3 linked regions of the Saccharomyces cerevisiae S288C genome follow. Changing the gene in region 2 together with the main gene of any one other region gives a genetic interaction. Each region holds a gene or a part of one and is shown on either strand. Other genes may lie near its edges. The genes, in order: BAT1, SNF11 and SPS2.

The links.
Region 1: mutations in SNF11 (region 2) and BAT1 together harm fitness more than expected from each alone (negative genetic interaction), as found in Saccharomyces cerevisiae (2 studies listed by BioGRID).
Region 3: mutations in SNF11 (region 2) and SPS2 together harm fitness more than expected from each alone (negative genetic interaction), as found in Saccharomyces cerevisiae (2 studies listed by BioGRID).

What each region holds. Positions count from the first base shown.
Region 1 is NC_001140.6:515,566-519,335, reverse strand, and holds BAT1 (branched-chain-amino-acid transaminase BAT1), read right to left. Parts: upstream 1,805-3,770; coding exon 623-1,804; downstream 1-622. Other genes in the region: SET5 (S-adenosylmethionine-dependent methyltransferase), read left to right, coding at 2,851-3,770. UniProt on the Saccharomyces cerevisiae protein: Mitochondrial isozyme of branched-chain-amino-acid aminotransferase, involved in the biosynthesis of the branched chain amino acids (BCAAs) leucine, isoleucine, and valine.
Region 2 is NC_001136.10:590,494-593,455, reverse strand, and holds SNF11 (Snf11p), read right to left. Parts: upstream 1,018-2,962; coding exon 508-1,017; downstream 1-507. Other genes in the region: IPT1 (inositolphosphotransferase), read left to right, coding at 2,112-2,962. UniProt on the Saccharomyces cerevisiae protein: Involved in transcriptional activation. Component of the SWI/SNF complex, an ATP-dependent chromatin remodeling complex, which is required for the positive and negative regulation of gene expression of a large number of genes.
Region 3 is NC_001136.10:1,483,260-1,487,369, forward strand, and holds SPS2 (Sps2p), read right to left. Parts: upstream 2,045-4,110; coding exon 536-2,044; downstream 1-535. Other genes in the region: URC2 (Urc2p), read right to left, coding at 1-144; putative serine/threonine protein kinase SPS1, read right to left, coding at 2,307-3,779. UniProt on the Saccharomyces cerevisiae protein: Involved in middle stages of meiosis. Redundant with SPS22 for the organization of the beta-glucan layer of the spore wall.

The sequences.
Region 1 (3,770 bases), on a different chromosome or scaffold from region 2:
TATATACGTTCCCTTGGGGCCGCTAATTAGAATGCTAAATATAGATCGTGGAAAACTTTCACTACAAAGCTTCTCGTTGTTGTGTTGGCTGAACATATACTAATGAACTGTTTAAATCAGGATTATGGACCGGTGAGGGAACATAATCATCTCTTCATGCCTGAACCTGTATGCCACGATGATGGAAGGCATACCATTATTCATACTGTACTTGCACCTCTTCTGAACTACGCTAGAATTTATTCTTCAGAAAATACCAGGGATATCCTTATAGATTTTTTTTTTTTGGCATAATCAACTCTCTTGGGTATCTTGCCGCATTCATTTTACATGTAAAGTCCAGCGAGATACCTTGGCAACTAAATTACAAGCAGTCTCTATGAAATTCAATAATGTGCCAAGTTGTTAGGTCAACAATTTCAAAAAGCGTAAGAAGCCGCACAATGGCTTGCATAAGCTATAATAATAATAGTAATCCAATATTTCTTATAATAAATAAACTCAACAGGAATTGTAAAAAAGTATGTATCTATGTGAATAAAGTGAGAGAAAAACAGATCCTCTGAGAGGAATTCTCGTTTTTTTTTTTTGGGGGGGGAGGGGATGTTTACCTTCATTATCATTAGTTCAAGTCGGCAACAGTTTTTGACCAGTTACCATAATTGACTCTACCGTATTGGATATCAGCAATCCATTGAGCAACTTGCTTGGTCAATGCACCACATTGTTCACCAGGCAATAGTGGAACATGAATATCTTCGTTGTTCCAGCCAATTTCCTTGATAGGTGAAACGACAGCAGCAGTACCAGAACCGAAGGCTTCTAATAGTTCACCTTGTTTTGCTCTAGTGGCGACTTCAGTAATAGTGTAATAACGCTCGTTGATGTCCCATTCTTGAGGATCTAGTTTGTCACGAGCCAATGTTAAAACAGAGTCTCTGGTAACACCTTCTAAAATGGTACCATCTAATGGAGCGGTAACCAATTCCTTCTTGCCAGTGACTTTGTTGAGGAAAACGAAGAACACGTTCATAGTACCAACCTCAGTGATGTTCTTTTCTGGGCCGAACAACCATAGATTTTGTTGGTACCCTCTTTTGGCAGCTTGTAGTTGAGGTAAGATGCATGGGGCATAGTTAGCACCCAATTTTTTGTCGCCAACACCACCTGGCCAAGCTCTTGTAGCATAGTCTGTTGCTTCAAGACGTACGGCTTTGAAACCAGTCTTATAATAAGGACCGACTGGAGAAGTAATAACATAAAGAAGAGCCTCGGAGGGAGTGCCAACACCTAAACCCTTGGATGTACCAATCATTGTTGGTCTGATGTATAATGAGTAACCATTACCTTGAGGAACCAAGTGTTTATCTTGTTCGATCAATTTCCCGGTAAGTTTGATCAATTCTTCAGATTCGAAAGTTGGCAAACAAATTCTAGCGGCAGACTTGTTCATACGGGCCATGTTCTTATCCGGACGGAACATGGTGATAGTATTTTGAGGAGTTCTGTAGGCTTTCAAACCTTCAAATAATTCAAATGCATAATGGAATACACAAGCAGATGGGTCAAGAGAAAGATTACCGTAAGGCTTGATGTGTGGAGTGCCCCACCCTTCTTTGGCTGACCAAGGAATGGTCAACATATGATCGGTGAATGTCTGGCCGAACACTAATTCTTCATTTGGTCTTGGCTTGGATGGATTTGGGTTTCTAGTAATTTTTAGTTTGGATGCATCTAATGGGGCACCAGTAGCGAGTGTTCTGATGGAGAATTTCCCCAACTTCAAGGAATGTCTCTGCAACATGTTTTAGTATGCTAAGGTTCTAGCTGATTTTGCGTTTATAGGGTGATTTATTCTAACGAAAACATGTAGTTGTTACCACTAGCTCTCTTTATAGTGCCATTTTTTTCAGATGCTTTTTTTTTTTCAAAGCTTAAAGGCCGGTACCGGCAAACACAATAGAATTTTGAGTCATAAGAAGGCAATATGGATCGGATGGGCCATTAAACAAAAAGAGAGCCAATTCATCAGTAATAATAGCGACAGCCGGTATGAAATCTGCACAAAGTATCAACCGCCTGGCCTCTATCAGTAAGATCATTCAATCAACCGTACACGCGGTACTTATCCAGCGTTAACATTTACGCTTTACAGTTCAGCTAAAAAAGAACACATTATCTAGTTAATGCCTGGGAAGGCCCTGGCAAGATACACTTTATCTAAATTATCTACTGCTCGCAAGGCAATGCTATCAATTTGAGAAGTGCAGAAGGAAATGCCATCAAGCTTGTGGTGCGCATTTCACTTTTAAGGATAATAACAGAATTTAATGGCTTGATATGGACGGGCGGTTTGCGAGCCTTACTATTGATAGGAGTATTCGTCAAGTCCAGGGCGCCAATGTGACTTATCGCGCTGTGGGTGGGTAATTCTACCTCAGTTTGCTTCTCGAGGAGTTTGTAGCATAAATCTCGTTAGAATAGTCAAACATACGGTATCTTTCTTTCTCTTGAAAAATTAGTACAGTCTACAAGTTTTCCTCATTGGCTTTCAGACGAGCATTTGATTGTCAAGTACTTTCCGGACCACCTGCGATAGTTTCCCTTGTCTACTTGAGCAGATATGCTCTTACTGACTAGCAAGAATGATAACAAATTTTATCAGTAAACCCTTTCCTTGCCGTAATTTTTTTTATTTTAGCTTCGTAATTTTTTTTTTCGTATTATTTTTCTTTTTCTTTTTCTTTCTTGATATCATAATCATGGGGAACTTCTCCATATAACAATAGAAGCTAAATAGGTAAATAACCAAGCGTGCACTGATACAAAATAACGAAAAGTGGCACAAAAATGACATTGACTATCAAAATAGGAACCTTAAACGATAGCGATCAATCTGCAGTGCATAATGGTACAGAAAATGGCTCTGATTTTCGAAAGATAACTCCCACAGAGGAAGAGATCTGTGATGACGTAGTTTTGTTATGGAAGGAAGAGCCCGGAACTGAAGACGCTACGATTCAGCATCTTTATGACAGGATTACGGAAAGAAATCAATCGTGGAAATTGAGTGCTTCTCGTTTTCGAAAAATTCTAAATGAGCACCATCTTTATGACACAGATCTAGAGACCGTTTCTCTATATAAAGATAAAATACATTTTCCAAAAGCCCTAGATTCTGATGCTAAGGTCGAAGTGAAATTTATTGATGACGAACATGGAAGGGGCCTTTTCGCTAAAAGAGATTTTTCCAAGGGCCAAATCATCCTGAAAGAAAATAAACCTATCGTATATATTCCACCACTGGACAAGCTTTTTTTAATATCTAATGGAAAGGCATGTGCTCGATGTGGTAAGGCGCTATATGATTTGACCCAGCACAAAATTATGGTCCATTATTTGGATTGTGAAGTTTGCAAAGCTATTTGGTGCAGTGAAAAATGTAAAAAAGCACATGCGTCGTTACATGAGCTTTTATACCACTCATGGAGATCGAATAGAATAGACATTCTTCATGCTGGTAATTGGAAAAGATTTGTTAACTACTGTGAGAAATATTGTTTTACCGCTGCCTTTTCAGTTGGTCTTATATATGGATCCATGCTTTTGGATACTACAGGAGAGGTCAAAGAGCAATGGCAAAAATTGGCAAGCATCTCACAAAGGGAAAGAATTAAATTAAGAGACGCCAGCGGTATCGGCAGTACGTTTAGTTTACTGAATGGTACAACTGTACATACTGAAGAGGAATCTGATAATGGTACCAAAAA
Region 2 (2,962 bases):
GGGGGTCCAGCGAGGCTAGACTAGGTTAGGCTAGGCCAGAAGAGAAGGAGGGGAGGGAAAAGTCAGAGAGTCAAAAGGAGAAGGGGCTACGCTCCAAATGGCGTAGAGTAAACTAGTAGATATTGAGATTAGGCTTCCGTTACCGACGTGCATGATGAAGATGACAATGCTTACTGCGACGATGACGAAGGTGGCTCTCGAAGAAGATAATAAGAAAGTAGTATTAATAGGGCTGGCAGTAAGATAACTACATCTGATGTCATAGATTTTAAAATACTAATATTATTATTTACGTTGGGTACATTACATACGATAAATTCATGCAGTTGTAGTACTTGAGTGATTGTTATTTGCCTTTCTTTTTCTGCTTTTCGTATTCTATTTTTCTTATGCTTCCTGTACTTGCTCTGCGGGTATGCAATCACACCTGTAGCTGAATGCAAAATTAAAATTGCAAAAGTAAAAAAAAAAAAACAAAATAAAAAAGGGAAGAGAAACAAAGTTATTCTACCATATCTCGAACACTCTTGCCAAGAGAAGATAGAGTTTAGAAAGAATATCCTGTGGAGGTTGCTGCTGGTTGGCTAGCTGAGGAGGCGTGAGGATCAGTGGTTTCGCTGAGGGCACTCCTTGGTTTATCTGAGATATGCATTGAAGATTGGCATGAACCCTTTTAAGGAACTGAGATATAAGTTGCTGTATCCTGATGATGTTATTGTTATTGCTATTATTTATATTGTTCTGTAGATTGTTTTGTAAACTATTATTCATCTGAATAACTCTAGCAAGTAATATGCTGTTGATATGCAATAGCAGTTGTACCTTATACTGTCTTTGCTCATCGACCGTGGGGAGGTTCAGCTCTGCAGTTGCATTTGCAGTTGCATTTGCAGTTGCATTTGCAGTTGCATTTGCATTTGCATTTGCATTTGTATTTACATCTACGCCAGCGCCAGTATTGCGGTTCTCGTTTTCAGTGTTGGTGTTCGTATTCGAGTAGGCAATTTCACTGCTCATTTTTCTGGGAAAAAAGGAAATCTGTGTGTTTTGCTTATATGCACATTGAATTTACACTCCCGATCGTGATGCGCTCTGAGCCCTGAATAGAGGGTATCATAAACGGCAATCTTACTACGACCCCACGTAATATGCTTTTATGGGAAGTCTGTTCTCCACTCCGTATATACTGTTAGGAGAAAAAAGGAAAAAAAATTTGCCCGAAAGTCGATTGTTACCCGGCAAAACAATCATCAAAAAAAAACAGGTAGAAGAAGGCTTGCTATAATTTGAACACTCTCTACCCTCCTGGCTGCTTTATCTACTTCTGTTGGCTTGAGAAACGTCATATCTATATATAGCGTAGATATGTTTATTCGCGTTTGCACTGGCCTTGAAGAAACGTGAAAAGAGGGTGGTTTCACCGCACAGCGGGGTTATCCTTGGTTACTCGTAAATGCCAATAATCCATCTTGAATAATTCCTATTCGAGACGCATGGGGAAATGCAAGGCAAGCTAACACGTAGTAGAATACCCTGCTGCACAGCGCCGTTGGGGTCTCAAGTGCAATTGCCGTTTTGCGCGGCGATAAACGGCTAAAGATTACTTCAGTTGGCCACGGCAGCTGCGCCCTTCCCGAGTGGATTACGCTCACGTGCTTTCCGCGGAACAAAAATGTGAACGCCACGGGAAAAAAGCATTATCCCCGCGCCGCTTCTTGACGCCTCTGATTGTGCTGATTGATTCCGCTTTTTTTTTTTACCGGCTTTTTTCTCCGCCTTCTTCGCCTCAATCGAGAGTTCTGGTGTAAATTCTCTTACGAAGTGCAAAGTTAGTAGGAAAGTAAAAAAAATAAGAAAAAGGAAAAATGCCTAGAAATGCAGACCTCCGGCCACAACATTTTTATATAATACATTCGAGCATCAAAAACCAGGAACAATAGAAGAGTAATCGCTACTTGTCAAATAAAAATAAAAAAAGGAAACCTAAGGCATAGTGTTTTCATAAGCATCGCTACTTTTTCATTGCCACCCTAACTGTTCCTTTATTTCACCGGTTGGACGTTATCATTTCTGCTAAGAATCACCTAAAGTCTTTCAACGTCTAAGAAAGCATGAATGTCATATTTTCTTTGGCGAGTTTCGTCAAAAACATGTATAATGCAAGTTTGAACCAACGTAATCTAATAAGCCTGCCGTTCAACTTCATGCTTAATTTTGCGCCAGTGTTTATTTGGCTGTCTATATTCAAGCGCGCTGGTCTGATACCCATAAGGCTCAGACCTGACATTCATAGCAAGTTTGCTTTTTTTGCTGATCAATTCCTCTTTGGGGACTATTGGCATGAACTTACTGTACAATTGCCCGATAATACTTCGAAGCTATTTTTCTGGTCATTCATATCATCTTCTGCATTTCTCTTAGTATTTCTGATATGTATTCCCTTTGCCATTTGGTACTACATCTATTACATTAAGCACGTTAACTATAATCTGTTAGAGTGGTTCGCAAATATTTTTCATTACCCCTGCAAGCGCAAGCAGCGGCCGATCCAAAAGAGATTTCGGACAATTTTCATACCGTTTGCCTTGCCCCTGTTTACATTTGTTATACTCAACATTGATCATTTCTTTGCTTACCAGTCGGATGCAAACTTTACTAAGACCAAGGATTTACTGGCTTGGTTCTCCTATGTCATCCTGCACTTGACAGCTCCAATTTTAACAGCTGTATACTTATACGTCTTCCAACCACCGGGGACTTTAAAATGCTTTAGTTTTGCCCTAGGATTACAAAATATAGCGGGGGTCCTTACCCATCTGCTTGTTCCAATGGCCTCCCCATGGTTTACTCATCTGTACGGTATTGATGACACCGAACATGTTAATTACACCCAGGAAGGGTTTGCTGCCGGTTTGATAAGAGTAGATAGCCATTTGGGTACTCATTTGAACACTAAAGGATT
Region 3 (4,110 bases), 890 kb from region 2:
CTCTTTGGCTCTTGCACTATCCTCTGGGTGGTTTATTATGGATCTGATACTATTTCGCACCTTTCCAGAAGCAGAATTATATCCAGCAGTCATCGGTAAACCATCTGGTCTGGGGCTTACTGAGGCATTTGAGTTTATATCCATTTTTTTCCCTGATGTTCAGCAAACCGAAAGAAATATAAAATACAACTGGGAAAGATGTTTTAATGGTGAGTAAGCAAAATGTGAGTGGTTTTAACCCTAAGGAAGAACCGTATCAAAACACTATTTTTCAATTAAATCATCTACCTAATGAGCTCATTTTGTTAAGATGATCTACCATAATAATTATTCAAAAACTGTCAAAATTAAAAGGAGGGTAACAGTTTCAATAGTTTAACCAGTTTTGGTAATGCCTGAAATAACATAAAAAGCTGATGCTAAGTGGGCTACGCTATGCTCCAGGTGAAGATAATCAGAACACTACATCTCTACTGCAAATTTATATCTCATAAGAACTAAATAAAATGGCTAGTATTTAAGTTAATCTTCTAACCTAAAAAATTATCGAGAACAATACCGTGAAAACTGCATAAACTGACATTTTGAAAGCATCAATAAAAATGTTCTTCGGAGCACTGTTTTCCATCTTCTTTGAACTTCCTTGACTTTTTGCACCATTTTTTCCTTTTTCTTTCTTTCCATTATCATTGTCAGTTTCCTGCTTTCCTAGTACATTCCCCTCTTCATCAACATTCAGCATTTTACTTTTCATACCAGATGTGCATTCGATTTTACCGCCTCTTATGATCGAACGACCGGCTTTTGGTGATGTAAATTCTTCACAGTTTAATTCCTCAGATGAACTTTTGATATAAGCGCTACCTTTTACTAACTTTAGCTCTGGGAGGTCAATTTTATCAAAGCTACCTTCAAAATATATTGCACCGCCAATTTGCCTCAACTTGGGGAAGAAATCAATTTTGGCAAGCTCTGTATTGTTAGCAATCATTAGACCCCCTTGAATATCGGTGGCATTCGAAAAGTTTAGCTTTTTCAGATTTTTATTATCTATTAACCCCAACGTTCCTTGAACTTTTGCCAAAAGTGGTAGTTCCAAGCTTGAAAATTGATTCTCGATGAACTCTAGAGAACTGTTCACAGAGGAAAGTTTAGCTAGTTTAATTTCTGAAACGTCCTTAATGGTCATATTTTCAACCGTGTGTAAGTTGCTCAAATCAAGTTCCAGCTCTTTGGCATTAGAGTGGACGGTTAGTTGTTTAGTAACACTTTCTAAACTTGCGAATAAATTTTCTAAAAACCTGTTATTGTTGATATTGAAAATATCCACTTTCTTGACGTTATTGAAGTAATCGATGGAGGTTAATGCAGTATCAGATATGATAATATTTTTGATCTTTTTAATATTTCCGTTAATGACAACACTACTTAGAATAGGCAAAACTCTCCAATCAACGGTTTCAACTTCTTTTAAAGCGGGAAAGTCTAATGATACAAAGGAAGTTAGGCTATCCAATTCCAACTTTCCCAAAGACTCTAAATTATAACCCTGGATTCTAAAAATGTGTTTGTTATTCTTGATAATAAGATCTCCCTCTATCTCTCTTATTAACCCTAGATCAATAAGAGATCCGCTGTAGTTACTTGATATTTCAATGTTTCCTACCACTTTCCAACATTTAGCTTGCAGTTCAATCAAATTTCCAGCATTCTCAATATGATACAAGCCTTTTTTACAGTCTTCATCTACTTGTGTTTGTTTTGTTGGAGAAATCACCTCAAAATCAGTTTGTTCCTTTTTAGGGATCGTTGCATTAGTGTTAACCAACATAATGTTGTGATCTAGAATATTCGGTCCACCATTAGGTTCAACTGCAGCGGATGATTTAATTAACTGCAGAAACAAGAATAAAAATCTTAAGATTGTGTTCAACTGGTTCAACATGCTATCCTTTTCTTTTTTTGTAGAAACTTTGGTTTCTTTATTGACTATTTGAATAACAGAAATACTAGTGAAGAATGTTTGTGTTTTCCAAATTGGCATTTTCTTTTATAGTCTAAGTAATGCCACAAAATATTTTTTTTGAGACGCATCAATGACGGGACAGTAAAGACATAAACGCTCGATCAGAAAAAAAGAATCGAAAAAAAAAGGGAGAAATAAGCAGGTAAATAATCAAAAACACATGACTTTTTACTGTTTGTTATATAATTCAATATATCCATCCTTCATTTATTGAAGATGAAAGAGAATGGAAAACAAAAACTCATGCATATACACACATTATATATATATATCTATTTTTTTAAACGAATCCTTTCTTTATTGCTTCAATTCTTAGTGAGATCTCTTCTATAAAAACCTCATTAAATCCAGGAACGTTTGCCTCAGTTTTAATGAATTGCTTTAACATTTCATTTACGTATTTTCTTGTTTCATCGTCGCGCGCACGATCATACATTCTGTTGAGAATATGAGATACAATGTTTTTCAAGTAGTCAAACTTTTCTATCTTCAACGCCTGAATATCGTTCTTTTTATGCTTCTTATTATGATTAGAGAGAGGAACTATTTCGGTCTCTGCTTGAGCATTTGGGCAGCCTGAATCTATATCCATTCCTGAATCAAGCTCGAAAACTGGTTGCGTACATTTTCTAAATGATGAAGAACTTGGGTTGGTTATCGGCGTTACAGTTTGCCCATGAAGTAAATAAGGACTTTCCATATTTAAAGATGATGTTGGAGAGTCTTGTGTAATGGGAGATAATTCCTCTTTGGAAATTTGTGTTGTGCTTAGTCTTGTCGATTCAAAATTCCAAAATTCCTTTCCCCTCACTGTGTTGCTGTTTTTATACAAGCGATTTTGAAGAGGGTATTTGGGAACTTTTGTATATCTCTCCTGAACCTTTTTCTGTTTAATTAGATCAACATCACTTTTCAAGTTCGTTATGGTGATATTCTTAACAAATTCAAATGATAACAAGTTATATGCCGATGGCCGATCAGCAGGTGTTTTAACAAGACAACCAGCTACGAAATCCTTTGCTGCATCCGAAAAGGGACCTTGTAATTTTGGAGGCTTCCTTTTTGGTAAGTTAGTCATAACTTTCATAGGATCATATTTAGATAATGGGGGTAAGCCCTTGAGTAACTCATAGGTGGTGATACCCAAGGACCATATATCTGCTTTCTCATTATACCCATCAACTTCGCAGCAAACAACTTCCGGAGCCATCCAATACGGCGTTCCTACAAAAGTGTCCCTTTTCAAAGTGGAACGAATGTGGCCACTTACTCCGAAATCACCCAACTTAACCATACCTTCTTCATTTAGTAAAATATTAGCTGCTTTGATATCACGATGAATTTTCCTTTGCTCATGCAGGTATTTCAAACCCAAGGTGACTTCATGAATAATGAAGGAAACTTTTTCTTCAGGCAAACCGTTGACGTAACTTCGCTTCAGTAAATCTGAACATGATCCACCGCCGCAATATTCCATGACAATCCACATAGAGACATCTTCTAACATTGTTGCAATATAGTTTGTAATAAGAGGAGATTTCAATTCCGCCAGAAAAAAAATTTCCTGTGCTAACAGTTCAATGTCTTCGTCGGAATGCTCCAGGTTGACCACCTTAATTGCCACAATTTCTTGCGTAACTCTATCCACTGCTTTATACACATCACCAAAGTTACCTCTGCCAATACATGATTGGATGGAATATAGCTTCGATGGAGGGGTTCTTGACCTAATTGATATTTCTTTGCTTTCCATTTTGTGCTATTTTCTTTTGTTGTTTAGTAAATGAATTAGCTAGTAAAAAAACTAAATTTAAAAAGCAAATGCTGGTTTGCTTTCTTTTGAGAAATGTTTGCTAAGACAACTGACTAGCCAGGTGTTCACTAAATCGATAATATTGAAAATGGCAAAATAAGAAAAAAAAAGAAGAGAATTAGCTGGCTTTTTTTGGATAGGAAATATTAAATGAAGCAGTTGGAACCAAGATAATAAACAAAAACAGTATATTAAGTGACTCTTTAGTATATATCTGAACTAACAAGTAAAATATCGATGTTAGAAATGGTTACAATAGAAGAAAGTAGTG